3 linked regions of the Elephas maximus indicus genome follow. The protein of the gene in region 3 binds, or shares a complex with, the protein of the main gene of each other region. Links are inferred from orthologs where the notes say so. Each region holds a gene or a part of one and is shown on either strand. Other genes may lie near its edges.

What was found.
Region 1: CC2D2A (region 3) and TMEM231 share a complex: the UniProt entries of both Homo sapiens proteins name them as parts of the tectonic-like complex. The link is inferred for Elephas maximus indicus from reciprocal best matches to the Homo sapiens genes CC2D2A and TMEM231.
Region 2: CC2D2A (region 3) and B9D2 share a complex: the UniProt entries of both Homo sapiens proteins name them as parts of the tectonic-like complex. The link is inferred for Elephas maximus indicus from reciprocal best matches to the Homo sapiens genes CC2D2A and B9D2.

What each region holds. Positions count from the first base shown.
Region 1 is NC_064839.1:41,211,502-41,221,638, reverse strand, and holds the start of TMEM231 (transmembrane protein 231), read left to right. Parts: upstream 1-4,111; 5' UTR 4,112-4,204; coding exon 4,205-4,343; intron 4,344-4,429; coding exon 4,430-4,599; intron 4,600-10,137. UniProt on the Homo sapiens protein: Transmembrane component of the tectonic-like complex, a complex localized at the transition zone of primary cilia and acting as a barrier that prevents diffusion of transmembrane proteins between the cilia and plasma membranes.
Region 2 is NC_064829.1:109,828,867-109,839,003, forward strand, and holds the start of B9D2 (B9 domain-containing protein 2), read left to right. Parts: upstream 1-3,143; 5' UTR 3,144-3,354; intron 3,355-4,363; 5' UTR 4,364-4,367; coding exon 4,368-4,455; intron 4,456-7,287; coding exon 7,288-7,413; intron 7,414-10,137. UniProt on the Homo sapiens protein: Component of the tectonic-like complex, a complex localized at the transition zone of primary cilia and acting as a barrier that prevents diffusion of transmembrane proteins between the cilia and plasma membranes.
Region 3 is NC_064823.1:150,137,693-150,147,829, forward strand, and holds the start of CC2D2A (coiled-coil and C2 domain-containing protein 2A), read right to left. Parts: upstream 6,100-10,137; 5' UTR 6,061-6,099; intron 5,968-6,060; 5' UTR 5,937-5,967; intron 1-5,936. UniProt on the Homo sapiens protein: Component of the tectonic-like complex, a complex localized at the transition zone of primary cilia and acting as a barrier that prevents diffusion of transmembrane proteins between the cilia and plasma membranes.

The sequences.
Region 1 (10,137 bases), on a different chromosome or scaffold from region 3:
AAGGCAGGAGGGGACAGGAAAAAAGAAGAACAACAACAACAAAAAAATACTTGGACTATTACTGACTTTTTTAAAAGTCAATGGATGGGTGTAAATATTGTTGAATTAGCAAAGTTTTGTTATATATATATGTATATATTTTTTATCACAATAAAAGCAAGTCAGTAGACGGGATCATTCGTTTATATATAAACAAATATATATATATATATTTTTAAGTAGTTTGTCTTGGTTATCTAGTGCTGCTATAAAAGAAATACTACAAGTGGATGGCTTTAACAAAGACAAACTTATTTTCTCACAGTCTGGTAGGCTAGAAGTTCAAATTCAGGTGCCCGCTCCAGGGGAAGGTGTTCTTTCTCTGTTGGCTCTGGAGGAAGATCCTCGTCATCACTCTTCCCCTGGACTAGGAGCTTCTCACCAGGAACCCTGGGTCCAAAAGATGGGCTCTGCTCCCAGTGCTGCTTTCTTGGTGGTATGAGGTCCCCCACTCTCTGCTCACTTCTCTTTCCACTTATCTCTTGTAAGATATAAGGTGATGCAAGCCTAACCCCAGGGAAACTCCCTTTACATTGGATCAGGGATGCAACTGAGTAAGGATGTTACATTCTACTCTAAACCTCTTTAGCATAACACAGTCTTGCCTCATTAACCACAGGCAGAGATTAGCTTTTACAACACACAGGAAAATTACATCAATCATGAAATGGAGGACAACCATACAATACTAGGAATCATGACCTAACCACATTGACACATATTTTGCGGGGGCGCACAATTCAATGCATAACATAAAGATCTAATGGAAAATAAGGACCATGTCTTTTCATCAGAATTAAAAGCTGGAGATCTTTGTAACACCTCTTGAAAGATTAAACCCATTACCACCACCTCCTAGTACCCTCAGGAACTGATTTCTTTTGTCACTTCTCTTCCTTAAAGAGATGAAGTCAAAAAGACAAAATAATAGTTTCATGATTCTCGACACTATTATAAAGCATCTTTGTAAGTTATTTATTCTCAACCCTGACATAATAAACCAATGAAAGAAGTAAAGTAAGTATCTAGTTCAACGTTAGCAAACTACAGCTGATTTAGGAGATAATATTGGAGCTGTTATTACCTGTCTTAGAATGTGACCCAGCTGGAGTAGACTCACAAGGACTCACAAGGACACATTAACTGGTCCCTGAGGTATAAAGATGTTAGAAGACTCTTGGAAAATATCTTTTAGGGAAACTTTCACATAAACGTATCATAAAACAGAACACAGAGGAGTTTTCGTTCTTCTTCTGTTAGCATTTAGTGAATAGAAAATTTGTTGGACCAATGAAGACCCTCCTGACCGTCCTTACTGAAACCTGTGCCAAGGATTGTTAAGAAAGACAATTCAAAATATAGGGTAACAGTTTCTAGCTAATCTGTGAAAAGGTGAAGCTTTCAATGGTTTTGCCCGTTTGTAATGTTAATATATACTGATGACTCTAATATTCTCGGGACCTGGCAGACATTGCTCTAGAAGCAAGCTCGTCCATTTTCCCATTCTTGCCTATTCTGTAATATTTCCCTGGACTCGGGCAGACATGGCTGTGGCAGCATGTTTGTCTTTTTTCCCGCTTTTGCTTATTCTGTAATATTTCCTTGGACTCGGGCAGACAGCATGCTTGTCCGTTTCCCACTTTTGTCTCTTTGAACATATGCCGAATAAAACTTTCTTTTTGCTTTACTAAACTTTGTGATGTTTTTACCCTAGAACACGGCTCACAGACAAAATCTGGCCTGGTGCCTGTTTTTGTATAGCCCACAAGCTTAAGAATTTAAAAAAACATTTAAATGATTTAAAAAAATTAGTAACATTTTGTGACACATGAAAATTATATGAAATTTACATTTCAATGTTCATAAATATATTGGAACATGGCCACGCATTTGTTTACATATTGTCTATGACTGCTTTCACGCTACAATCACATAGTTGAGCAGTTGCACCTGAGACTGTAGACACGCAAAGCTTAAAATATTTTCTAGTTGGCCCTTTACAGAAAATGTTTGCCAAACTCTGATCTAGATAATCAACCACAAAACTCACCTTGGTCTCATTCCCCTGATTAAAAAGAAGAGTATTATTTATTTTCGGTTTTGTTTTCACTTTGACCGTTGTCTTTGTTCTCCACCTCACAGGATGTGTGCATGTAAACTTTAAATGTTTCATCAATCCTTCTTGTGAACTGTTATTTACAATAAACAAAAATAATTTTTAAAAATCCTTCTGCCATGTCCAAAACACTGGTTAGAAAAAAAAAAAATTCATTTAAGGAGTAAACCAATGGCTAGCAAAGCTTGTAACCAATATTTAAAAAGAGGTAGCAAAGTACACCAGAGAGCACGGTTTTTAATTCTCCCGGAACCCAGATTTCTAGGGTGCATGTAAGACAGGGAGCAAAGGCCCTGAGATCAGAGCGTGCCTGTTTGAAAAATAGCAAAGAGACTGGTGTGGTTAGAGGCGAAACAAGTAAAAGAAATAGACTATACGATAAGGGAGGTAATAGGAGGTTAAGTGTGGAACCCAGAGACTTAGCAAGAAGACAAGGAACAGAGGGGCCCCCAAATCTGCAAACAAAGTAACAGGAAATAGGCCAGGGCACAGAAACAAAAGCTATTCCCTAGAACAGTGGGGCAGGGTATTTTAAAATAGCCCACAAACTTCTTTAAAGTTGCCTTTCAGAAGCAGCTGGAGAAAACCAAGCCCAGAGACTTGAGCAGAACATGCACCTGTGACCACTGTGTGACCTTCCACCAGGGACAGTGAGGAGCTACAGCCTAGCTGGGAAATCGAACCCAGGGAATGAGAGAGACTGTGCAGGTGTGACACCCCATAATAAGTCCTGCTACAATCCCAGAGGCCTCCTGGACAGGAGCCATCTTGGAAAGCTACTGCACGTGCACCTTAGTTAATATATATCCGCCTGTGCCTATGAATAAACATGAATCTTTTCCCACCGAAGAACTTTTTAAAAACTCGGGCCTGTCCTTTGTTCTGTAAGAGGAGGGTCAGCATTGCCCTAGGCCCTCCTCATCTCTCTTTGCAGGCCTCTTCAATAAAGCTTTGCTCCTGTGGAAAACTACGTGCCTTACCTGCTCATTCTTGACCAGTGAGAGGCAGGAACCTTATTCTGGTAACACATGGAGTTGGGGTGACCACACCCATGCCATTGCTCTGATGTGATCTTTTGAATCTTCAGCCTTGAACAAACTGGTCTCCTAGAAGTCACCTTTAAGCCAAATAGTCTTGCCAATTAGTAAAGACCATTTTGCCTTGGAGGTTGAGCTCTTTTGAGAGTTCAGTTTCCATAAATAGAAGCTCCAAGGTGGATCTGGAAGCTGTGTTTTAGGGTAAATTGTTATTATGAAAACACTGTTCTGGTCATTTCCATGACAGTGTCCATAAGATGGGATATAACTATCTTTGGAAGTTCTGTTCTCGTTGGAAACAGTTTGACTATCAGAAGTGTTGCCTGATTTACAAATCATATTATATTAAATAAAACCATTAAAAAATGGTTTTGGGTTTATATTAAATAAACTTGAAATCAATTTCTATTATTGGCTTAATATGATCTTTGTTTTAACATAATAATTATCCTTTATTCCTCGAAGAGTGTGGGATTTCTGTCTTTCTGTTTCTGTGTCTGGCTGTTGAGTGGAAGGCACGGAAAATTTGGAGACAAAAGAACGTGGCTTTGGTCTTAACCCAGGACCAGATCCAGGACCGCAGCCACATTTACGTCCTGTGCGTTTTCCTCCAACGCAAAGTGTGCTCTGAGTGGTTGCACTTTAGTATAAACCACATTGGGGCTTAAACAGATGGCTCATAACGAAGTATTTTTTGTCATCCTTTATGAAAATGCTATTTTACACAAATGTTAACACAGACGGTTAATTAAAATTTTGGTACATGGAAACATCCTATTTCCACTCAGCCTTAGAAAGAACGCCACAGTTAAAGCGAAGTCGACCATCCACCAAAAGCACCGCCTGCCGTTAGCCCCACCCCTAACAGATCACTGCCTCCTTGCTATTGGTTCGTTTCACCCCTCGGTTGCCATGGAGACCAAGAATATGGCAACCGGGAGAAGCCAAACTTATTCCTCCCTTTCGAATCTCCGCGAGGTCGCAGCGTGCTGCGGACCCCCGCACGTCGTTCATGGCGCTCTACGAGCTCTTCTCTCACCCTGCCGAGCGCAGCTACCGCGCTGGGCTCTGCTCCAAGGCCGCGCTGTTTCTGCTGCTGGCCGCCGCACTCACATACGTCCCCCCGCTGCTAGTGGCCTTTCGGAGCCACGGTAAGCCAGCCCCCAAGCGCTGCGCAACACGGCTCCCCGCGCCTGGGCAAGCCGCCCTGACCTCCTCTCCGCCCTCTTTACCTCAGGGTTTTGGCTAAAGCGGAGCAGCTACGAAGAGCAGCCGACCGTGCGCTTCCAGCACCAGGTACTGCTTGTGGCCTTGCTGGGACCGGAGCGCGGCGGGTTCCTTGCCTGGAGCACGTTCCCCGCCTTCAACCGGCTGCAGGGGGACCACCTGCGCGTCCCGCTCGTTTCGGTGCGTGTTTTCCGCCCCTGCCCTGCGGCCCACCCCGAGTGGGCGGGAGGTGAGGGTAGGGGCGACGGGGGACGAGCAACCCCTGGCCGAGGAGAGCCCAGCTTGGGTCTTAAGGGTCCGCGAATACTTGTTTACACAGGCTCGTGGGCCTGAGCTTACGTTTAATTTCCAGGCGAGTAGATAGATAATGTTTCGTTTTGATTCTCCAGGAGGTCCACGACCGCTGGAAAAGTTTGTCATTGCTTTCAGGGAACTTTGGGGCCAGAAGCCTGCCAACAGTCTGTCTCTAGATCTCCTTACTTCTGTGGACCTGGCCTGATGGAGGGGTGGCCGTGACAGTGCCTTTGTATTAATGACCCCATCCTGTCGCTGTAATTGCACATCGTAACACCGTAGCCGCAGAAAGATCAGGTATTTGCCCAGGCGCTGATTGGTTAAGCGACCATCCCAGCGAGTGCTGCTGGCTAAGTCACACCTTCCTAGGCTGCACCATCCAGCACTATCTGCACGAAAAGAAGCATTTACTGTCTGTAAAGTAGTACAAAGGTGCCTTGGTTGCGCAGTGGTTAGAGCGCTCAGCTGCCCGCCAGAAGGTCAGTGTTTGGAATCCACCAGCGCTCCGCAGAAGATGCTGGCAGTCTGCTTCCATAAAGAGTTACATTCAGCCTCGGAAACCCCATGGGGGCAGTTCCACTCACCAAACAGGTTGCCTTGAGTCAGAATCAACGGGATGGCAATGTAACACAGGTAGTCCCGGACTTAGAATGGGGTTCCATTCCTATGAAGTCAGTTCTGACATAAGTCGAATACTTAATTTTTTTCCCAATTATTATTGCCTTTTATTATCTGTATCTTTATAAATCTGATCTTTATTTATCTTTTGGGATTGGCATGAGAATGATAACATCGGCAAATTACGCTACTGCAGCATTGTATGTAGTACGTTTACTAATGGGTGAGATATACGAAAAAAAGAAAGAAAGAAAAGGATGGTAAGTGTGGTTCCTCCTAGCTGGAATACATTGTAAACTGGGGAGTACCTGTATTTGGTTCAGAATAAGTGAGCGCTTCCTTTGCAGTCAACCCTTTCCACTCATCTTCTGAGAACATCTTCCTTTAGATGTGTGAAACTTCTGGTCTTCCCTTTTCGAAAGCTGAATCTCTGGACACCTCTGAAATAAGAGCCTAGGAGCTATAAAAAAAAAAAAAAATACTTGTTTTAATTTGCTGACAAAAAAAAATTCAGACTTTTTTCCAGCAATTCAATAAGATGAAATTAAAGAAAAAAGTCTTGTCATATGAATAACTATAAACAAAATATAGTTCTGTTTGTCTTTTTTTGTGGTTACTTTATAAATTTTTCTCACATTTTCTTCTGATTTCAAAAATGCTTGCCCATTGTAAAATATTATAAAGGAGTTACAGGTATAACCTGACAGAAAATGAAAGGCTCAGTTTGGTATGTGTATCAGTACTTGTTGATCAACCTTATTCCTTTTAAGTTCTGCAAATTATTTCGTTATATGGAAAAACTATAATGTATTTAGCCAGTTCCCTGTTGATGGATATTTGATTTGCTTGCAATTTTTCACTGTAAGAGTCAGTACTGCAAAGAACAAGATTTAGAATACCTCTTACATCTTTAAATGCCAAATCGTGAGGAATTGGAATAGAAGCTGTTTGTTGAAATTGAGAAAAGTACATAGAAAATTAAATAAGCAAATACAATAATTATTAACTTCGGGGAAATAAAAAGTAAGAAAAGTGAGGAAGGGAAAAGTAATTAGAGTTATGAACAGTGTTCTACCAGAAAAACCAACGAAACCCATTCTTCTCAAAGAGACCCTGTAGGACAGAGTAGAGCTGCCCCACAGGGTTTCCAAGGCTGTAATCTTTCAGAAGCAGACTGCCACATCTTTGTCCTGCAGAGCAGCTGGTGGGTTTAAACTGCCAACCTTTTGCTTTACAGCTGAGCACTTAACCACCATGCCACCAGGGCTCCTGAACAGGGTTTACAGCATCATAATTATATTGACTAACCAAAATAACAGTTTAACTGAGAAAGGTATGGGTATGTGGTGGGGCTGGTAGAAGTGGGATAGGGGAACGAAAAAGCTAAGTCTTTACCTTTCCTTGTGGAAAGTCAATAGAGAATGCCTAAAACTGAGAAATGGAGAAGTACTAATGGCAAATGTTATTTATAGACATGGAGATGTGTTTCTAAATAATCAGATAAATGAGATCAAAGATTTGCCTTTGGTGGGATAGGTGGAAGTCTGCTTTTTTAAAATTGTTTTTAAAAATAAGACTGGATTAGGAGAAATTTCTTTGAATAGCTCCTCATAATCATGACATATTGCCGGTTTTTATTATTTGAGATTATAATACCTCTGGAGAAGCGTGACCGTGGATGAGGGGTCAGTGTCGAGATAGACTTACTTTTCACTGTATACCTACTGTATTTCTTGCTTTCCATGTGCATGTATTTCTTTCCCAAAAGTGGAAACATTTTCTTTTTTTCAAACACGCAAAAGTTAATTTACTAGTTTCACTTTAAGTTTTTTTGTTTACATTTATTTGTTGGGAGTCTCTGGGTGGTATAAATGGTTAAAGTAAAGCGTAGCGTCCACCCAGAGGCTCCTGAGAAGAAAGGTCTGGCAATCTACTTCTGAAAAATCAGTCACTGAAAACCATACAGTGCGCAGCTCTGCTCTGACACACGTAGGGTGGCCTTGAGTTGGAACAGACTCGGCAACAACTGGTTTTTATCATACCGTTCTGGTTATTTAAGTCTAAAAAATAATCATGAAGTCTTAAAATATTACAGAGATACAGCACTAGGTTTCATACATTTGTTCTTTTTACTCTGCATTAGCCACCCTCCATGAAAGGTTTTATGAAAGGTTGGTTTCCCAGTTGCACTGCTGGTTAGCTTCTTATCTATGTCACCAGAAGCCATTCTCTTAAGAGCACTGTCATCCTCCTGCTCCTAGTGTTTGTGGATTCCCATTTTCATCTACAGAGCCAAGACTCTTATTTTTTTGATGCCTAGAACTGGATAATTTTATACTGTTGATAAAACACAAAACCCAAGCTTTTTTTTCGTAGTCTTTTTTTTCTTCATTATAGGCCAGTGTCTACAAGTAATTTATGACCTACCAATCTGTAGTCCATTTTAATAAATAATTTGCTTCCATCCTGACAGCTCTTGGTGTAGCTTCAAATTATGAGATAAAAAAAAAAAAGACATCAGAAGATATAATAGAAATAAAGACTTTAACAGCAGCAATCCAAAAGATGAAATAGGAATAAATTTAACAGGGAATGTATAAAATCTATATGAATATAGATTAAAAGGCTGCTGAGGGACACACACACGAAAAATAAAAACACAACATGTTCATAGGAAGGAGAATTCAACATTATAAAGATGTCTGTTCTCCCTAAATCAGTCAATAATTTTAATGCAATCCCAATAAAAACAGAAAGGAATTTTTTTGGGGGGGGAGGGAGAAACAGACATACTGAAAAATAAGCAAAAATAGCCAGAAAATTCTGAGAGAAAGGATACTACAGGGTTAGCTCTAGTTGTTAGGTGCTGTCGAGTCCATTCCGACTCATAGCGACCTTATGCGCAACAGAACGAAACACTGCTCAGCCCAGCGCCATCCTCACAATTGTTGATATGCTTGAGCCTATCATTGTAGCCATGTGTCAGTCCATCTTATTGAGGGTCTTCCTCTCTTTTGGTGTCCCTCTACTTTACCAAGCATTGTATCTTTCTCCATGGACTGGTCCCTCCTGAAAACATGTCCAAAGTAGGTGAGATGAAGTCTTGCCATCCTTCTAAGGATCGTTCGGCTGTACTTCTTTCAAGACAGATTTGTTCGTTCTTCTGGTAGTCTATGGTACGTTCAGTTTTCTTTGCTCACACCGTAATTCAAAGGCATCAACTCTTCCATCTTCCTTATTCATTGTCCAGCTTTCTTGTGCATTCAAGGCGATTGAAAATACCATGGCTTGGGTGAGGCGCACCTTAGGCCTCAAAGTGACGTCTTTGCTTTTTAACACTTTAGCTAAAAAAATTTTTTTTTTTTTTAGCTCTACTAGGTATTAAATTGTACCATTAAGCTGTATTAAATAAAACAATGTGATTTGGGGACAGATATAAAAAGTATGAAAAGGTGGCATTTTAAATCAGTGGGGAAAGATGGCTTATACAATAAAATCATGTTGGGCTAACAGGGAGGCCATCTGGAAAAAACAAATGTAGAGTTAGTCCGCATACTGACTCTGAGAGAACTGAGCGAGAGAGGGGTATTGTTTATACTGCTAACCCTTATTGCAACAAAATACTTGTGTTTTCTAATTCTAAACATAAAGCCGGACAGACTACAGCCTGTCCAGGAAGCTCTGCTCAGGAAGCCGAGGAAACAGTGGTTTTAGATCAAGGTTAGGAGGTGGATTTGCAATTGTTAATTTGGGAAAATGCTTCAGAAATTGGAAATGACCTTGCTTCTGTTTTGGTCAGCTCACCTTGAACAGCATCCCCAGAGCCCCTGTTTTTAATGTTTTAAAAGTCTAGTTTTTGTTATTATTTATTTGTAATTTATCTTGTTGAGAATATACACTGTAAAACATACACCATGTACAAGTTAGTGACATTGATTACATACTTGGAGTTGTGCAACCATTCTCACCTTCCTTTTCTGAGTTTTTCCTCTGTTGTTAACAAAAACTCATTGCCTCCTAAGGCTCCTAATTTTTTGAGTTTCTCTTGTCACTTTAATCCCATATAGATAATTCTTAAAAGAGCATACTGTGTTTTTATGCAAATAATGCACACCTCCTAAGTTTGTTTGCTCACCGCTACCCCCACAATGTATTTTCAAAATCTATGCCGATTTTTTTTTTCCATGTTGCTGTAAGTAAATTAGAGTGCTGATGACCTATGTGACAAATTAGAACTACCCTACAGGGTTTTTCTAGGCTGTACGGAAGCGGATAGCCAGGTCTTTCTTCCACGGATCTGAACATTTAACTGAGTTAGCAGCTGAGTGTTTAACTGTTGCACCACCAGTGCTCCTCTTTCTAAGCCTAAAAGCCCTTTATTTATTTTTTTTTTTTGTGGTACTTATTACTGCCTGATGTTGTATATTTGTTTTCTACCTCCCTGGTTAGAATATAAGCTCCATGAGGGTATGGACTTTGTCTATTTTGTTTATCATTTATATTCCCAGCACCTGAAACAGTGCCTGGCACATAGTACCCATTGCATCCAGTTGATTCCAACTCATAGCAACCCCTGGACGTTATTAAGCCCTCAAAAAATAACTTGATAGATTAATAAATGACTTCAGCCAGTGTTTCTCTTAGTAATGGTGCTGTGCCAGATCTCTCTGCTCTGTCAACTTGGAGCATAAGTGTATAGACAGGCAGGTATACAGACTGAAATTTGTTGATACTGCCTTTTTGCAAAAAGACTTGTCCTTCCCAACCAAATGTCTTTGCTCTGGCGTTTGTATGTGTTTTTAAGTC
Region 2 (10,137 bases), on a different chromosome or scaffold from region 3:
TCCTTTTGAAAGAGAAGAGACACCATCTGACCCTGCAGCTGCAAGTCAAGGAATGCCTGAGGCTGCCAGAAGCCAGGAGAGAGGCGGGGAACAGAAGCTTCAGAAGGAATCCACACAGCTGACACCCTGATCTTGAATTCCCAGCCTCCAGAATGTGAGACAATAAATTTCTGTCGTTCAAAAGCCACCCACTTAGCGATATTTTGTTACAACAACCCTAGGAAATAATGCAAGGAGGAAGCCTCGATTCCTTTTATGATATAGTCTTGTTAGTCACACTCCAATATTTCTACCATGTGCTGTTGGTTAGAAGGAAATCACCAAGGCCAGCCCACACTCAAGGGAGGGGAATTAGAATCCACCTAATGAAGGGAGGAGTGTCAGAGAATCTGTGGACGTACTTTAAAACAGTTTCATACATTAACTCATTAAGTCTTCATAATACCTCAGTGCAGTGAGTACTATCATTCATTCCGATGTTACAGATGAGGAAACTGAGGTACAGAGAGGTTAAAAGTCACACAGAAGAGACAGAGCCAAGACAAATCCAGGAAGTTAACTTGTGGGGTCCATTTTCTTTCTTTCTTTCTTTTTAAATTGTGTTTTAAGTGAAAGTTTACAATTTGAGTCAGTTTCTCATACAAAAACTTATACACACATTGTTATGTGACCCTGGTTGCTCTCCCTACAATGTGACAGCACACTCCTCTCCACCCTTTATTTCCCGTGTCCATTCAACCAGCTCCTGTCCCCTTCTGCCTTTTCATCTCACTTCTAGGCAGGAGCTGCCCATTTAGTGAGTGAGGTAATTGGTGGTAGCTGGCTGCAATCTAGGTCTTCTGGTCTCAGGCTGGTTGAGTCTCTGGTTTATGTGGCCCTTTCTGTCCCTTGGGCTCATATTTTCGTTATGTCTTTGATGTTCTTCATTCTCCTTTGCTCCAGGTGGGTTGGGACCAATCAGTGCATCTGAGATGGCCCCTTGCTAGCTTTTAAATGGGGTCCATTTTCTTAATCACTAATGTTAATCCAGGAGTCTCTGGGTAGTGCAAACAGTTAATTTGCTCAGCTGATAATTGAAAGGTTGGTGGTGGTGCCATGGAAGAAAGGCCGGGAGATCTACTTCCAAAAAACAAGCCATTGAAAATTCTATGGAGCACAGTTCTATTCTGATACACATGGGGTTGTCATGAGTCAAAACTGACTGAATGATAAGTAGTTTACTGGTAGTATTAACCAGTGGGGAAAAAAACAGTTGAAAAAAACTAAGGAACACTGACAGGACTTGATGGCCACTTCGGTAGAGAAGTGATAGAGCCTAGGATGACACCCATGCACAACTTTCACACTCCTTAGGTATCAGGCGATCTGTTGCTATGAAAAAAAAAAAATTTTTTTTTTTTTTTTTTGCTATGAGTCAGAATCAACTCCCAGGCAACTGGTTTGGTTGGTTTATTTTGGTATTCAAGAAAGGCAGGATAGCAGAAAAGTTAATAACCTAAGTTAGGGACAGAGTCAGAGAGATCTATGATCAATTTGGCTTAAAGCAAGTAGTTTTTCTTCGTTTTAAATGGGGCTGATATTACCTACCCCGTAGGCTGTATGTAAGGATTGAAGGAGATAATAAATGTAAAAGAGTCAGTACCAGCTGGCACAGAGAAAGTGATCAATAAGTGGTGCTATTAAATATGTATCTATTAATATTACTCTATTGAATTATTTTATTTATATAAATTTTATTCTATTGGAATGTCCTTCCTCCATAATTTTGAGTTGGTGACTCAGAAGACTCCCTGTTTTGCTAAAAGTGGGAAATAAGTTCTCACTGGACTCCTGATTTGGGCTGAAGGAACAAGGGACTGAGGTTCAGCTGGAGTTAGAAATAGAGTGGGAAACGCATTGCTCAGGAACTCAGGTTGTGTGAGTACTTTTGACTCTGGTCCACTCTCCATGCACCCATTATATGGATTAGATAACTGAGACCTATAGATGGGCCTCCATGTGCCTATCAGTTTGTTGTACTGTGTTTTGTGTGTTGCTGTGATACTGGAAGCTTTGGCATCGAATACCAGCAGAGGCACCCTTGGTGGACAGGTTTCAGCTAAGCTTCCAGACTAAGACAGACTAGGAAGAAGAACCTGACAGTCTAATTCTGAAAAAATTGGCTAGTGAAAACCTTCTGAATAGCAGTGAAACACTGATAATAATGCCAAAGAGGATCCCCTCAGGTTGGAAGCCACTCAAAATACAATGGGGGAAGGGCTGCCTCAAAGTACAGTCGACCTTAATGAGGTGGATGGAGTCAAGCTTCCCAGGGACCTTCATTTGCTTATGCCGCACAACTCAAAATGAGAAGAAACAGCTGCAAATATCCATTAATAACTGGAACGTGGAATGTACAAAGCATGAATCTAAAAAAACTGTAAGTCATAAAAAATGAAATGAGCAGGACAACTTACTGGAAGAGCTAAATCTTCAAAAACGAGATTTTCTGCAGATAAAGGGGGATTCTACAGGTTCGCTATGAATGGAATCCACTTGAGGGTCAACGGTTTGGTTTTTGCATTTTCAGTTCCTCACTTTCATTCCCTCCCCCCACCCCCTGCTCAGAATCAGGAATCAGGGTGAAAAACTGTGCAGTATTTCTGAGAAGGAAATTGTATTTCTCAGTCCTTCGTGGACCTGGGTCGCTATGACTCGTAATCTACTCCACGGCAATGGGTTTGTTTTTTTGTTTTAAGGGGACTGGGGAAATTTAAAAACAGACCAAGAACCCTCTCTGAATGTGGAAGGATTATTTCCAATTATGAGACGGGAGGATGCACACAGTGTAAGGGGAGGGACTTCCCCATGGCCTTGGGTCGTCTCTGATTTGTGGTCTTTATGGATTTGTTTGTTTTATAAAGAGGGTCTGGGAGAAAGAGTTGGCGCTCAAAGAAACCCAGCCACACTCAAGATGGTAGCTGCTCGGCCACGCCCCCAATGGCGGAACCTCACGCTGGCGGAGAAGCGCTGCTTTCCCGAACGGGAGCTAAAAAAAAAAACAGGCGGAGAAAACGTCCGTCACAGGCCCGCCCCGCCCCCGAGAACAGCTAGGGCCAATTAGCGGCGCGCAGGACGGGAGCTAGGCCAGGGGTGGAGGCTGCTGTTGCCGTAGCAACAACTAGGGATCCCGGAGGCGGGCACGGCCGTGGAGAGATCGGCCTCTACAGATTTCTCGCTGCCGGGAAGGTCCTGGGAGAGGCGGGAGCCAGGCCTGGGAAGTCGGCGCCCGCGGAGAGAGGGACAGGTCAGACTCAGGAATTACGATACCCTGTGCTGCTTTCGTCGCTATGGGTCGGCATCGACTGGACGGCAGTGGGTTTGGCTTTATGGTTTTTAACCGTTAGGGGTGTTAAAGTCGCAATAAGGCATGCGTTGTCTTGAGGGGGCGCGGCTAAGGCACTTACGACGCATGCGCATCATGGAGCTTCGGGCCGGGCTGACGCTAGGAGGCGGGGCTCTTGCCCTTGTGTGCGGAGCCAGAGACCCCTGGGCGGGACTTTTCGGTGGACTGATACCAAACCAAACGAAACCACTTGCGTTAGGGTAGTTTCCGACTCTTAGGTACCCTCTAGGACAGAGTAGAGCTGCCCCATAGGGTTTCCAAGAAGCGACTAGTAGATTCAAACTGCCAATCTTTTGGTTAGCAGCCGAGCTCTTAGCACCAGGGCTCCGTGGGCTGAGCCAAAAAAACCAAGCCCATTGCAGTTGAGTCCATTCCGACTCATAGCGACCCTATAGCCCGGAGTAGAACTGCCCCACAGGGTTTCCAAGAAGCGCCTGGTGGATTGGAACTGCCGACCTTTTGGTTAGAAGCCGAGCTCTTAACCAATGCCCAGCAGGGTTTCCGTGGACTGAGCCAGAGGTACCCAAAACAAAATCAAACCTGTAGCTGTGGACACATTCCGACTCACAGAGACCCTATAGGACAGAGTAGAACTGCCCCGCCCCGTAGTGTTTCCAAAGCTGTCATCTTTACGGAAGGAGATGCCACGTCTTTCTCCCGTGGTGTGGCTGGTGGGTTCAAACCCCGACCTTTCAGTTAGCAGCTGAGCTCTTAACCACTGTGCCGCCAGGGCTCCTTGAGGTGGAGGTATCTTGGGGTGGGGCAGAGTTAGACGCCAGCTATTGCACCCAGCAGTCCTGTTTTTCCCGGGTTCTCCTGGGAAGACAGGGTAGTGGTTAAGAGCACAGCCTCAGGGGTTTGACGAACCTATCTTGGAATCCTGATGCTGCCATTTACTCTGTGGGTCTTAGTTTCCCTACCTATCAGATGGAGCAAATAATATCTCACAGGGCTGTGATTATACTTTTCCTTTCCCAGGGCGATGGCTGAGGTGCACGTAATTGGACAAATCATGGGGGCCACCGGTTTCTCAGAAAGTAGCCTCTTCTGCAAGTGGGGCATCCACACAGGTATTCCTGGGCCTGGTTTGTTCCCCCCCCCCCCCCCCGCCAAGTCCCTGTGCCCAGAGGCTCCGTGCTCTCTACTTGCCCCCTGACCCAGGTTCTGATCCTTACCTTCCGTCCGCCGTCAGAAATCAGCTGTCCACAGGAGCCTTAGGCTCACTTCATATTCTGCCGTGGGGGCTCTGGCTCCCACCCTAATGAACACGCAGCTTCTAAGCATATGGGACTATAGGCTAGGACCCCTCTCCTGCCAATTCTCAAAACTCTAGGTAGCCCAGACCCCCCCCCCCCCGCCCCGCTTTGGACTTCACTAACTGTCTTAGGGATGCTCTGGGACTCTCCACAGTCTTAATAATAATTCTTTGGTTAACAGTCTCTGTGTATTGAGTTCGTACTGTATAGTGGAAGTTTCTGTGCCCGATTTACAAAGGCAGCCCATTCTCTGGTATTCACAGTCCTCTTTGAGAAGGTAGGAACTGGCAGCCATCCATATCCTTTCATGCAGGTTTAGAGGGGTACCCCCAAAGCCCCCAGTTTTCATGCCTCCCCATCTGAGGCAGTATGCATAGTGGTTAGGACCACAGGCCACCAAATCTGGGTTCGAAGACTAACTCCACCTATTAATTGGAGGCCTTTGGGCCTGAACTCTCTGAGTATCTGTTTCCTTGTCTGAAAATGTGACTAAATAGCAGCTGAGAGGCAGCACAGTGTCAAGATTAAGAGCACAACCGCCTGGGCACAAAACCAGCTGTTGCACTTCTCTTTGCTTTGATTTCTGTACCTGAACAATGGGAATAATTTTACCTCATGGGATTGTTGGGAGGACTAACTTTATATCAGCAGCACTTAGAGCAGGGTCCAGTGGGTAGTAAGTGTTCAGTAAGTGTTTGTCTGGCTCTTGTAAGACTTCGATGGGGTCTCGTTTGTAAAGCCTGGTGTGTGTTGCCTGGCCCATGAAATAGGTATGGCTTTTGCTGTCAGCATCCCTTCAGGCTCTGGGTCATTTGTGATTTCACTGGTAGGCGGGGTGGTGATTCAGATTCCCTGGGGAATTGATATCCTCCAGCTGAGTGGTTAAGGGGCAGGTTCTAGAGTCAGACTGGGTTTCCAGTCTGGGCCCTACCACTCAACTGCCCTGGGACCCTGGGCAGGTGCTGTCACCTCAGTTTCCTCATCTATGTGTTGTTAGGTTCTGTCGAGTCAGTTCCAACTCATAGCGACCCTTTGTATAACAGAATGAAACACTGCCCACCTCTGCACCATCGTCACAATCATTGCCATGCTCGAGCCCATTGTTGCAGCCACTGTGTGAAACCATCTATATCCCTGCTGCCATCATGTCGATTCCGACTCATAGCAACCCTATAGGGCAGAGTAGAACTGCCCCAGAGAGTTTCCAAGGAGCGCCTGGCAGATTCGAACTGCTGACCTTTTTGGTTAGCAGCCGTAGCACTTAACCACTATGCCACCAGGGTTTCCACCATCCATCCTTCATAGGGTTTTTTGGAAATCTTGTATGTGAAGAGCCTGGCTCAGGGCCTGATGCTTCATTCTCTCAGTCTTGTGGGAAAGTGGCTAACATGGTTTTTATTAGTTCAGGGAGGGAGTTGTAGGGGCACGGGGATTGGTCCAGCAGAGAGCTCAGAGGTAGTCTGATTGGGCTCCGCAGTCAAACAGTCAGTGCTGAGCTTGAATCCAGCTCTGCTGTGGGGTCTCGGTCTGACCCAAGTGCCTGGCACACAGTAGGCACTCAGTGAATCTTGGTGGAATGAATGACCAAGTGATTTTCTTTGGCAGAGCTTATTCTTTTACTTCTTAGATCACTCATTTGTCTGACAAGTATTTACTGAGTGCCTTCTGTATACCAAGCATTGGGTTTGAGGTTCTGGAGATACAGCAGTGCACAAGTGCCCTGCTTTCCTGAGGCTCCCAGTAGGGGACACAGAAAATAAATAAGCAGACAGGTGAGCACAGTGATTTTAGTTAGTGGTTGGTGCCAGGAAGAAAAGAGACAGGAGGAGGTGATGGGGACTAATTTTTGGATCGGAGTGTCAGGGCAAGCCCCTCTGTGGATGGATGAAAAAGAGCCACCCACAGGGAGCTCCAGGAGCAGAGCTTTCTAGGCAGAGGGAATGGCAAGTGCAAAGGCCCTGAGTTGGGAATGAGCTCGGCCAACACTGGGGAACAGAAATGGGACCAGTGAGGCTGTGGGGGTGAGGAAGGGGGAGAGTGATGGAGATGAGGGCAGGAAGGTGGGCACGCAGGCCATGCAGAGCCTTAGGCACCGGGTGAGTGTCTGAGCTGGGGGGGTTGGGCTGGGCAGGGTGGGATTAAGAGTGCTAGAGTCAGATTACATTCATTACCTAAAGGGATCAGCACAGCATCTGGCATGTAGTAAGCACTCAGAGCATTTTGCTGTTACTATGCACCCTTCACGGCACACCCAGCTGTGGAGAATACTCTTGGCCTCATCTTAGTCCTTGATCTAGGCTTCTAAATATGGAGTGGGAGTAGTAATAAAATGATATTTTATCCAGCACTCACTATGCCCTAGGCACTGTTTTAAGTGCTTTGTATGTATTAGCTTAATCTCAAAAACTATGAGGAACACATTATTTTTACACTCATTTTACAGATGGGAAGACAGAGGCATAGAAATGTAACTTACCAAAGGTCACAAAGGCAGGAAGAGGTAGTGCCAGGATTTGAACCCAGGCATTTGACTCCAGAGTCTGTGTTTTATAACCCCTGCCCCCAAATGTTAGGGAGAAACGGGGTCCTACAGCCACAGTGGCATCACCCCACTGCCGCATCTCAGTGTCCTGGCTCTCCCCACAGGGGCTGCATGGAAGCTACTGTCAGGCGTGCGGGAGGGCCAAACGCAGGTGGACACCCCCCAAGTGGGGGACATGGCCTACTGGTCCCACCCCATCGACTTGCACTTTGCCACTAAAGGCCTTCAAGGTAGGTTCCAGGCATGGGCCCTGGGCCAGGCTGAGGGGAGGGGGGCTGATAGCACCCTAGCTGCTGGGATGAGAATATCAAGTCTCTGCCCTCTGCCCTTATACCTTTTTCGGTCCCTTTCCCAGCCCAGCCTGGCCCCGGAGAGGCTGAGCTGAAGCATCCCAGGTGGGCTGTAAGGGAATCCCAAGTATGAGGGGCTGGGGCGGAGGCCCGGGGTGGAAGGGGAGGTGGGAAGGTAGGGACCAGGGTGGGAAGGGAGATGGCCTCTAAGTAAAGACAGAGGGAGACAGTCTGCAATAGGGAGCAATCTGGGATGGGGTTTATGAGGGAGAGAGAGACACAGAGGTGAGGGCTTGCTGCTGCTTTTCAGGGAGGGCCCCTTAGCTTGAGAGCAGAGGCTCAGGGGGAGATGAGTGCAGGGGAGGAGGGGTATCAGAAAGCACTTTCTGGGAGAGAGTTTGGGGTATTGCAGAGGAGCAGATTCCAGGCTTGGGAAATAACCAAAAACCAAACCCACTGCCATCCAGGTGATTCCGACTCATGGCGACCCTATAGGACACAGTAGAACTGCCCCATAGGGTTTCCAAGGCTGTAAATCTTTATGGTAGCAGACTGCCACATCTTTCTCCTGCGGAGCAGCTAGTGAGTTTGAACCACTGACCTGTTGGTAAGCAGCTGAGCGCTTTAACCACTGTGCCATCAGGGCTCCCTATATTAGATGATGCCAGGAAGATACCAGTGACTGAGATACCCACAGCCCTGTTCTCAGGGGCCCTACCATCCAGTGGAGGAGACAGACCTGTCCCCACACAGTGACAGCCCAAGTGGACAGGGCTGGGGTGGGGGGCCCCTGGGGCCTGGGAACCGAGAAGAGGTTCCTGACCCTGTCGGGGAGATCAGGGAGGACTTCCTGGAGGAGGGGACATTTGAGCTTTGATGTGAAGGGCTAGTAGGAGCTAGTGAGGCAAAGGACTGGAAGAGAGTTCCTAAGCAGAGGGGCATCTGAAGGACTGAGGGAGGGAGACTAGGAGGGCAGCAGGGAGTGAGGTGGTAGGGGACAGGCCATGCAGGGCCTTGAACACCAGGCTGAGGACCTGAGGCCATTTGAAGGCACTGGGGTGCCAGGGCAGGCGATGGACAAACTGTATTTTGCTTTTAAAAGATCTTCTGGCTGCCAAGTAAGCAATGAATTGGGAGGATGAGACAGGCAATTCTGTCCCCCAACGTTGGTCCCCTCCCTGGTTCACCCCCGGCTCCACCCCAGTCTGTTCCCCACAGGTAGCCAGCGGGACCCCGTGAACATCCAAATCAGATCACGTTCCTGCTCTGTCAGAGCCCTCCCTCCCCTGGTCCCCGTGCCACTCAGGGTAAAAGCCAAAGCCTTCCTATGTTGTCTTAGTTCTCTAGTGCTGCTAGAACAGAAATACCACAAGTGGGTGGCTTTAACACACAAATTTATTTTCTCACAGTTTAAGAAGCTAGAAGTCCAAATTCAAGGTGCCAACTCCAGGGGAAGGCTTTCTCTCTCTGTTGGCTCTGGGGGAATGTCCTTGTTTCTTCAGCTCATTTCCTGGTTCCAGAGAGATCTCCACATGGCTTCGCATCTCTCTTCCCCATCCCTGCTTGTTCTGCTTGCTCCTTTAATCTCTGTTATATTTCAGAAGAGATTGACTCAAGATACACCGTACACTAAACATGCCTCATTAACATAACAAAGACAAATGAGATTATAACCACAGGCATAGAGGCTAGGATTTACAACACATAGTTTTTGGGGGGACACACTTCATAAAACAGGGATTACAGGTCCCTGCACCATCTGGCTCTCACCCACTGCCCCTCTCTCCCCGGCACACTCCAGTCCAGCCCCACTGGCCCTACCAGGCACCCTCCAGCCTCAGGGCCTTTGCCTTAGCTATTCCTGCTGCTGGCCATGCTCTTCCACTAGATGTCCACATGGCCCCCTCGAAGCCTTTGCTAAAATGTCACCTCATTGAAGCCTTTCTGGACCACCCCTTTGTAAAACTGTATCCCCACCCCTACCCTACCCTGCTTAATTTTTCTCCAGAGCAGTTATCACCATCTGACATAGCCTGTAATTTACTTATTTACTATGTTTGCTGTCTAGGATGTCAGCTACTCAAGGGCAGGAATTTCTGTCTGCCTTACTCATGCTGGATCCCCAGCTCCTAGAACGGGGCCTGGCACAGAGGACGGGTTCTGAAGGGAGGGTGGGCCAGGGCCAGATCTCCAAGGGCCTCGGCCACCAGCCTGAGGAGCTGAGCAGTATTCTGAGGAAACCTATGGAAGGGGGAGAAAAGATGCTCGCGGTCACCAGGGGAAAGGGGGTTGGAGAAGACAAGACAGAAGGCCAGTCAGGGAGGAGTGCAGGGCGGGACCCCAGGGAGGGGAGGGGGAGGCATCCAGACAAGGCCCAAGGTGCTCATCTGAGGACTGGGGAAGCAGTGGGGCCACCCTGAGACGGGGACACGGAGGAGGAGGCCTCAGGGATGTCACAGAGGCCAGATCTGAAGGGTCTTGAGTGTCGAGGAAGTTAGACTTTATGCTGAGGATATTGGGGAGCCATGGAAGGGTTTTGAGCAGAGGAGGAACATGGATTTAGAGAGATCCCTCTGGCTGCTGTGTGGGGGTGGAGCAGGAGGTGGAAAACCAAGGAAGAGGCCTGGGAAGAACCAGGGGTGTGAAGGGAGGAGCAGGCTGGGG
Region 3 (10,137 bases):
ACGTTGGCATCTCCTGTCTGGAGGGAAGATGAGAGGGCAGAGGGGGTCGGAAGCTGGCCGAATGGATACGAAAATAAAGAGTGGAGGGAAGGAGTGTGCTGTCTCAGTAGGGAGCAATTAGGAGTATACAGCAAGATGTGTGGAAACCCTGGTGGCGTAGTGGTTAAGTGCTAGGCCTGCTAACCAAGAAGTCGGTAGTTCGAATCTGCCAGGCGCTCCTTGGAAACTCTATCGGGCAGTTCTACTCTGTCCTATAGGGCCGCTATGAGTTGGAATTGACTCAATGGCAGTGGGTTTTTTTTTTTTTAGCAAGTTGTATATAAATTTTTGTATGAGAGACTGACTCGATTTGTAAACCTTCGCTTAAAGAACGATAAAAAATTTTAAAAAAAGTGTAGGGAGCTGAATAAAACACACTGCCTACCACAACTTATTAAAAGGCTTTGGTAAACGAAAAGCTGTCTATTCTGTATCTTTCTGTATTCCTCTATGTCTCCTTCCACCAAGATAGGTGCTGTAAAAGAAGCTGCCCCATATAAGACTTAGAGCCCTGACGGTACAGTGGTTAAAAGCTTGGCTGCTAACTAAAAGGCTGGCAGTTCAAATCTACCAGCTGCTCCTTGGAAACTCTATGCGGTAGTTGTACTCTGTCTTATAGTGTTGCTCTAAGTCAGAATCATCTCAATGGCAATGGCCTTGGTTTTTTTTTAATCTAAGTTGGGGTCCCTAGGTGGCACAAATGGTTTGCACTGACTACTAAGCCCTAGATTGGTGATTTGAACCCACCCTGTGGCACTGCAGAAGAAATGCCTGGCAATCTGCTTCCATAAAAGATTATAGTCAAGAAAACCTTATGGAGCAGTTCTACTCTGTAACACATTGAGTTGCCAGGAGTTGAGATTAACTCCATGGCAACCTTCTTTTTTTTGTAATGTAAATTGTGTTCCTTTGTTTCCCCACTTCTCACTTTGACTGCACCTTAGAAGGCAAAACTGGCTACAATTTTTTTCTGCCTACAGCCATTTTTGGTTTCAGCAATTTCCTCCCCATTACTATATTTTTACCTTCCTTAATTTCCTGTGAAGTTGCTGTTGTCGCTTTCGAAACACTGCCCAGTTCTGCACCATTCTCACAATTGTTGCTGTGCTTGATCCCATTGTTGCAGCCACTGTGTCAATCCATCTTGTTGACAGTCTTCCTCTTTTTTGCTGACCGTCTACTTTACCAAGCATGATGTCCTTCTCCAGGGACTGATCCCTCCTGAAAAGTTGTCCAAAGTATGTGAGACACAGTCTCAACCTTCTTGCTTCTAAGGAGCATTCCGGTTGTACTTCTTCCAAGACACATTTGTTCGTTCTCTTGGCAGTCCATGGTATATTCAGTATTCTCCACTAACTCCACAATTCAAAGGCATCAATTCTTCTTCAGTCTTCCTTATTCATCGTCCAGCTTTTCCATGCCAGTGATCCAATAGAAAACATCATGGCATAGTCCTCAAGGTGACATCTTGGCTTTTCAACACTTTAAAGAGGTCTTTTGCAGCAGATTCGCCCAATGCAATGCATCCTTTGAGTTCTTGACTGCTGCTTCCATGAGTGTTGATTGTGGACCCAAGTAAAATGAAACCCTTGACAACTTCACTCTTTTCTCTGTTTATCATGATGTTGCTTTCTGGTCCAGTTGTAAGGATTTTTGTTTTCTTTATGTTGAGGAACAATCCACACTGAAGGCTGTGGTCTTTGATTTTTATCAGTAAGTGTTTCAAGTCCTCTTCACTTTCAGCAAGCAAGGTTGTGTCATCTGCATAATGCAGGTTGTTAATGAATCTTCCTCCAGTCTTGATGCCCCGTTTTTCTTCATATAGTCTAATTTCTCAAATTATTTGCTCAGCATATAGATTGAATAGGTATGGTGAAGGGATACAACCCTGTTGCACACCTTTCCTGAATTTAAACCACTCAGCATCTCCTTGTTCTGTTGGAAGGACTGCCTCTTGATCCGTGTACAGGTTGCTCATGAGCACAATTAAGTATTCTAGAATTCCCATTCTTCGCAATGTCCTCCAAAATTTGTTATGATCCACACAGTCAAATGCCTGTGAAGTAGATACTATTATTCTCTAGTTTACAGATGAAAATAATCAAAGGCTCGGGAACATTATGTGACTTACTCATGCTCACACAGCTAGTAAAGGGGATAACCAAATTTCAAACTTAAAACCCATTGCTGTTGAGTCGATTCCAACTCATAGCGACCCTATAGGACAGAGTAGAACTGCCCCCGTAGAGTTTCCAAGGAGCGCCTGGTGGATTCAAACTGCCAACCTTTTGAGTAGTAGCTGTAGCACTTAACCACTATGCCACCAGGGTTTCAAACTTAGAGCTGTTCTATTCCAAAATTGTGTTCTCTTTTCAAAGTTATCTAATTTTAATTTTTATCAAAACCACAGGTGTGTATAATTTAAGAAGGCATATTACTATTTTGTACTTCTCTGCCTCTCTCTGTCTCTGTCTTTCTCTCTCTCTATATATGTAGCCCTAGTGGTGTATTGGTTAAGAGCTTGGCTGTAACAAAAAAGTCGGCAGTTCATATTCACCAGCTGCTCCTTAGATACCCTATGGGGCAGTTCTACTCTGTCCTACAGGGTTGCTAGAGTTGGAGCCAACTTGATGGCGCATAACAACAACAACAACAACTATATATATATTATATATATACATACACATATTTTTTGTTGGACCTCTTGGTGCTTAGCAAATTCCCAGGCACAGTGCAGGTAACACAGAGTTGGAGCCAACTTGATGGCGCATAACAACAACAACAACAACTATATATATATTATATATATACATACACATATTTTTTGTTGGACCTCTTGGTGCTTAGCAAATTCCCAGGCACAGTGCAGGTAACACAGAAAACACAGAAGTAACTGTTAAATCGATAGAATCATAAAGTGTCCCCAAAGAGACACACGCCAATTCAGCTCAGCCCATTGATAGTTTGGATTGTATGATCCTATGAAGATACCATGGTTTCCTCACGTTTGAGTTGTCCAGATGAGAAAACATGGTAGAAGAAAGTCCTGTTAGCCAATGTGATCAAGATGGATAGGTGGTTGTTTAAGCAAATAAAGTCTGCTAGTATAAGAAATCACACAAGAAATCTATCTGTCCCCTAATTACTTATTATTTATCTAAAACATGTAAATATATGCATTTATTCATCAGTCTTGTTGCGTAGGGCTAAGACCTTTTTTGGTCCTCTAAATACAGCAGACTTTGGCTTCTTGGATAAATTGCACCTGTTATGCACCGTGGTTGATTTCCAGTCTTGTTCCTTTAGTCTCTAGATGCTAGTAAAAAAAATTTAGTAAGGGCATCTTCTTAAATTTTATAAGATCCCTCCACCCTCCTTATCCCCAGTATTTTAAAGTGGTTCTTGACCACTTGACATGTGGTTGTTTTTAGCTGCCTTCAGGTCAGCTCTGACTCATGGTGATCCCATCTTCAACCGAATGAAATGCTGTCCAATTCTGTGCCATCTTCACTGGTATGTGTGAATCCCTTGTTGTGGCCACTGTGTATTTTGTATGTCTTTCAAGCTAGGGGCTTATCTTCCAGCACTATATCAGACAATATTCTGCTGTGATCCAAAATGTGTTCATTGGCTAATTTTCAAAAGTAGATCTCCCGGCCTTTATTTCTAGTCTGTCTTAGTCTGGAAGCTCACGGAAACCCATTCACCATAGGTACTTGAAATACTATTGGTATGGTTTTTACCATCATAGCAACGTACAAACTACCACAGTATGAAAAACTGACAGACGGGTGATGACAGATTCTAGATGCTGGTGAAGCAGTTTTAGTGAAGGCACCGTTTTAGGGTTATGAACACCCACTCCCCCACCCCCCGTATTTTAAAGTGGGTCTTGCTCACTTGACAAACATGGCAGTAAACAATAACAATTCATTGACTCAATTTGTTATCAAGTCTTGGCAAAGTTCTTACAGAAAAAAAATATCTTGGGGCTTGTATGAGTTTTCTATCGCTCTTGTGACAAATCACCACAAATTTAGTGATTTTAAAGGAACTCAAATATATGATGTTACACTTCCATAGGTTAGAAATCCAGCACAGGTCCCATGGCTGAAATCAAGATGTCAGCAGGGCCATGTTCCTTTCTGGAGGCTCTAGGGGAGCACCCACTTCCTTGCTGTCAGCTTTCCTTGGCATGTGACTCCATTTTCCCATCTTCAAAGCCCACAAAGTCAGGTGGAGTCCTTCTCATGCTGCTGTCTTTCTGGTTCCTAACTTCTGCCAGCCTTTTCCACTTTTAAGGAGCCTTGTGTTTACACATGGAGTTTCTGGGTGGTGCAAAGAGCTAAGCCCTTGGCTACTAACCAAAAGATTGGAGATATGAACCTACCCAGGGGCATCTCAGAGGAAAGTCCTGGCAATCTGCTCCCAAAAGCTCACAGCCATGAAAGCCTTATGAAGTACCATTCTACTCTGACTCATGTAGGGTTGCTATTAGTAAGAATTGACTCTACAGAACTAGTTTTTCTTTTTCTGGTGATTATATTGGGCCCACCTGGATAATCCAGGACAATCTTTTTATTTTAATGTCTCATGATTAAAACCAAACTTGTTGCTGTCAAGTCGATTCCAACTCATAGTGACCCTATAGGACAGAGTAGAATTGCCCCATAGGGTTTCCAAGGAGCACATGGTGGATTCAAACTGTTGACCTTTTGGTTAGCAGATATAGCTCTTAACCACTGCGCCACCAGGGCTTCCGTCTCCTGATTAGGAACCTTAACGCCATCTGCAACCTTAATTTCTCTTTGCCATGTAACCTAACATATTCACCAGTTCTGGGGATTAGGATGTGGGGCACCTTTAGGGGCCATCATTCTGCCTACCATAGAGCTCATACTTGTTTTACCTTAGTTTATATTCTACTAAGCAGTTTACATAATTGCAAGTGTAAATTGGGGTTGGGGGCAAACAGTACTGACCCCTGGTCAGTGTAACACTCAGATGTCAGGAGTAGAAGTTCATATGAAAAGCAGCCTATGAGCTGGAAGTATACAGCTGCCTTGGGCATCATTTGGTATATTTTAAAAAGAGAATGGAGAATTCTGGATAAGCCAGCCAGTTGATGAAGAACAGGTGGGATAAGAGGGCTTCTACTGTGAATTCTTACTTTAGCCACATCAGAAAAGACCAGTCACTAGACAAGGAATTATGTTTGGTAAAGTAGAGGGCCAGTGAAAATGAAGGAAATCCTCAAAGACATGGATTGGCACCAATAGCCACAACAATGGATCCAAACATACCAATAATCAGGAAGATGGCACCAGAATAGGCAACGTTTTGTTCTGTTATACAAAAGGTCGCCCTGAGTCTGAGCTGACTGATGGCAGTTAACAGCAATTGCGAATTCAATCTTTCCTCTTCCAAAGGATTTTAAGTGAACTTCTCTTAAAGCCAACGTTCAGAACCCGAAAGCCACACGTAGAATTAAATTGTAAGCAAATGTAACAATGTGTGGGTATATGTGCATTTTTCTGGTTAGGGAATCTGGCTTTCTTCACATCCGAAAAAGTTTTTGACCCAGGAAAGATGAAACATTTACCATGATCAGCCCTCTGTTTTTGTTATTTGGGTACAACCCATTTCCATGATTAAATTGTCCATCCTTGAGACTTACATAGTGGGAATATATCAGAGAGATTTTTCAACTAAACCACAGCACTTACCACTATGCCTGGCATACAGTTCGTGCTCAATAAATATTAATTTATTTCTAAGGTAAACCTTTGCCTCTGTGAGTTGAACACTTGCAGATTTAACAAGTTTACCAGATTGTTTTAGTTTCAGTCATTCTATTCCAAAGAAGCGAAATATGTTTATAATCACATACTACTTACGGTGCTTCTTGCCAAGGAGCGTCACTTCATCCTTTAAGAGGAAAAAAAGCCGAACTTGTATTTTAAAACTTGTTTTGGAATTTTGAAGAGCTGTTCCAGTGTTCTGCGGTTAGATCGTACTTACGCCTCCAGTTGTATTCTGCTCTGTAGTCCCAGAGTTGGCACCAACGACTTGTTGAAAATATTATCAGTGGTAAGAGACCTACTACTGAGAATTTTATTAACACAAAAGAGGGCCTGTAAGAAGTTTACTGATTATAAACTTTTTCTGTCTAAAAATTTAAATTAAAAAAAAAAAAAAAAACTTGTTGCTGTTTTGAGTTGGTTTCTGACTTATAGTAACCCCATAGGACAGAGTAGAACTGCCCCATAGGGTTTCCAAGGCTGTCAATCTTTACAGACGCGTATGCCACGTGTTTCGGCTGGTGGGTTCAAACCACTGAACACTGGTGGGTTTCAGTTAGCAGCCAAGCTCTTAACCACTGCGCTGCCAGGCTCCTCCCAGAAATTTAAATAGGCTGACCACTTACTCATTGGATTTGTGAATTAAAGCACTGAAATTCTCTCCATTCCAACAACAGGGGAATTTCTGGCTTTTGCTTCTCCTGTGACTTCTCCCTGGAGCTGAGAACACTGTCATGCAATATGTTTACAATTACTGAATTGTGGGGGACTTGTTTCTCAAGTGTGTGTGTTTCAGTAATACTGACTGGCACACCACCTCCTCAGTCTTGGAAGAGTCTAACGTTTTTTTCTTCTTTAGTGCTGAGAATTCTGGGATCATCAACCAAGAATTGGATGGGACCTTAGGGGACGCCACACCCAGCCTACCATCCACTGCATGGCTCCTTCTGCAGCATTGTGTTTCAAGCTTTCTTAAACTGCAAATCATTTTAAGAAGTAAGTTTTATACCACAACCGAGTGTGTGCGCACACACATACATATACATTTAAAACATAGTTTTCAGGAAACATTACTTACCCTTACTACAGATACTATGTACTGATAGTTTCAATTTTATTCTTTTTTTTTTTTTTCTGTTCTATTGGGTTCTAATCTAATATATAACATATGAAGACATTGGTGGTAAAGTGGTAGAATTCTTGCCACCCATGTGGAAGGCCTGGATTCTGTTCCTGGCCAACACACTTCATATGCAGCCATCACCCCCCTGTCAGTGGAGGCTTGCATGTTGCTCTGGTGCTGAACATATTTCAGGAGAGCTTCCAGACTAAGATGGACTAGGAAGAAAGATCTGGCAATTCACCTCTGAAAATAAGCCAATGAAAATTCTATGGATCACAATGGTCCGATCCACAACCGATCATGGAGGTGGGACAGCACTGGACAGCATTTCATTCCATCTGTGCCCAGGGTCACCAAGTCTACAGCAGCTAACAATAACAACAACAATATATAACATATAATATAAAATATGTGATATAGACCGATGCCGGTTGTGTACCCTCTAAATTGATTTCATATCTTACTAATCTGTTGCAAGAAGCCCTAGTGGTGCAACGTTTAAGTGCTCAGCTGCTAACCAAAATGTCGGCTGTTCAAACGCACCAGCCACTCTGCAGGAGAAAAGACCTGGTAATCTGCTCCTGTAGATTATAGCCTTGGAAACCCCATGGGCAGCTCTGCTCTGTCCTATAGGGTTGCTATGAGTCGGAATCAGCTCTACAGCACACAACGACAACAGCAACGTGTTGCAGCCCACAGTTTGAAAACATGGAACAGCCAAATTCCTGGCAGATTTTTGGTCGTCCAGTCTTCATTTGAACAATTTCACCATTGAGCAGTTTAATATCTTATGAATGGTATTCATACATCTGATAATTTTTGAACAACTGGCTTTAAAGATGTCAATTTATGTTGTGTCCTCTCCTAGACTTTGTAATAAAGCACTATCTGCCTTCAAGAAATGTTCCCTACGGGTCAGGCTTGAACTGGGTGTGGCCTGAATCTCATGTTCTGGGGTAAACCATGTGGCCAATAAGACTCCCAGGGTTCTTCCCTACAGTTAGGGCTTCCCCTCATTCTACGTAACTTTAGGATTTTAATTGCTACCACTCTCAATTGAATTTTCATTTTTCTAATGTGAAGATTCCCTCAAAATTTGTGGTCAATCTGATTTAAAAAGTTTTAGGGATGCTGATGACATGGTCCAATGTCTACTTACAACATTTATGTTATTAATTGCTATACACATATATATTTTAGAAACAATATTATATAAAATTATATATCGATTTAGGATTATTGATTTTTTTCCTACTATTGCATTTCATGAAACAACTTTATTTAATTCACCATGCGCCTCTTTGATGTTAGTTTTTGGCCCTCTCTAGATTAACTTTTGAGTTGCCTAAGAAATACTTCATTCCCGTCTAAGCACATTGACACCGTTCCTATCTAATTTGTTTGAGATTCAAAACTCTTTGGATACATGATGCTGTCGCTGTAAATTTTATCCAAACCATCAATACCTATTTGCATAGTTTTTCTTTCTTTCTTCATGTGTAATATTTACATGGCAATTATGTTTCTTTGTAACAACCTTGTTTTTGTTGTTGAGTGCTGTCGATTCTGACTCATAGTGACCCCATGTGACAGAGTAGAACTGCCCCATAGGATTTTTTTTTTCTTTCACTGTAATTTTTACAGAAGCAGATCTCCAGGTCTTTCTCCCATGGAGCCTCTGTGTGGGTTTGTTGAGCTATAAACCACATATCAAACAATTCACCCATTCAATGGCTTTTAGTATATTCACGGAGTTGTGCAACAGTGACCACAATCAATTTTAGAACATTTTAATCATCCTCCAAAGAAACCCCATAACCACTAGCAGTTACTTCCCAATCCCCCTAAACCCCTATCTCTAGGCAACCATTTCTGTCTCGGTAGATTTGCCTATTTTGGACGTATGAATGGAATCACACATGTGGTTATTTACGCCTGGCTTCTTTTACTTAGCATAATGTTTTCAAGGTTCACATGTTGTAGCATGTACTGGGGCTTCATTTCTCTTTGTTTAAATTTGATTTTAAAGTAATCTTTAAAAGGATTGTCTAAAATGATACTCACTTCTTCCATCAGGAAGGTCATGCCCACCCAGAAATGATTACTAAATCTGTGTTAAATTCCTTTTTCTCTTTTTAAAAACTCAATTCTGTCTGATGACCTTCATGACTATGAAAATCAGTGTTAAATGCATACATTTCAAGCTAAAGTATCTTGACAAGTGTAATGTGTTTTGTTCCAAATAAAGTAATGAGAATGACATCTGTAATATGAAAGACTTTATAAACGCCTGAAAATAGTGCCTGTCTTAGTTACCTAGTGCTACCATAACAGAAATACCACAAGTGGATGGCTTTAACAAAGAGAAATTTATTTTCTCCCAGTCTAGCAGGCTAGAAGTCCAAATTCAGGGCGTCAGCTCCAGGGGAAGGCCTTCTCTCTGTTGGCCCTGGAGGAAGATCCTTCTCATCAATCTTCCCCTGGACTAGGAGCTTCTCTGTGCAGGAACCCCCGATCCAAAGGATGCACTTAATTCCTGGTGCTACTTTTTTGGTGGTATGAGGTCTCTCTGCTCACTTCTCTCTTTTATATCTCAATAGAGATTGGCTCAAGACAAAAACCAACCTTGTAGATTGAACCCTGCCTCATTAACATAACTGCCACCTATCTCACCTCATTAACGTCATAGAGGTAGAATTTGCAACACATAGGAAAATCACATCAGATGACAAAATGGTAGACAATCACACAATACTGAGAATCATGGCCTAGAAAAATTGATACACATATTTTGGGGGGACACAATTCAGTCCATAACAGTGCCTCTCCCTTGGTTCTGAGTAATAATTTAGGGGAAATTTACTGTATCTTTAGGCATATATAGTATATAGTAGATATAAAAGGAGTTGTGTTATCTTATCCTCAACAAGAGAAGAGAAAATAGTATTTTTTTAAACATGTATCAAAGACCAGGCACTTTACTTGGCACTCTCTATATATTATCTTATTTAATCTTCACAGCACCTTATGAGACAGGAAATACTATCTTCATTTTATGAATGAGGAAGTTGAGTATTTCTGGTGAGAAAGCAGGTAGGGGAGCCTGTAGTCCCACTTGCTCAGACTTTCCTTGTACATGGTCTCCAATTTCCCCTTTTCTATCAGTCTGAATTC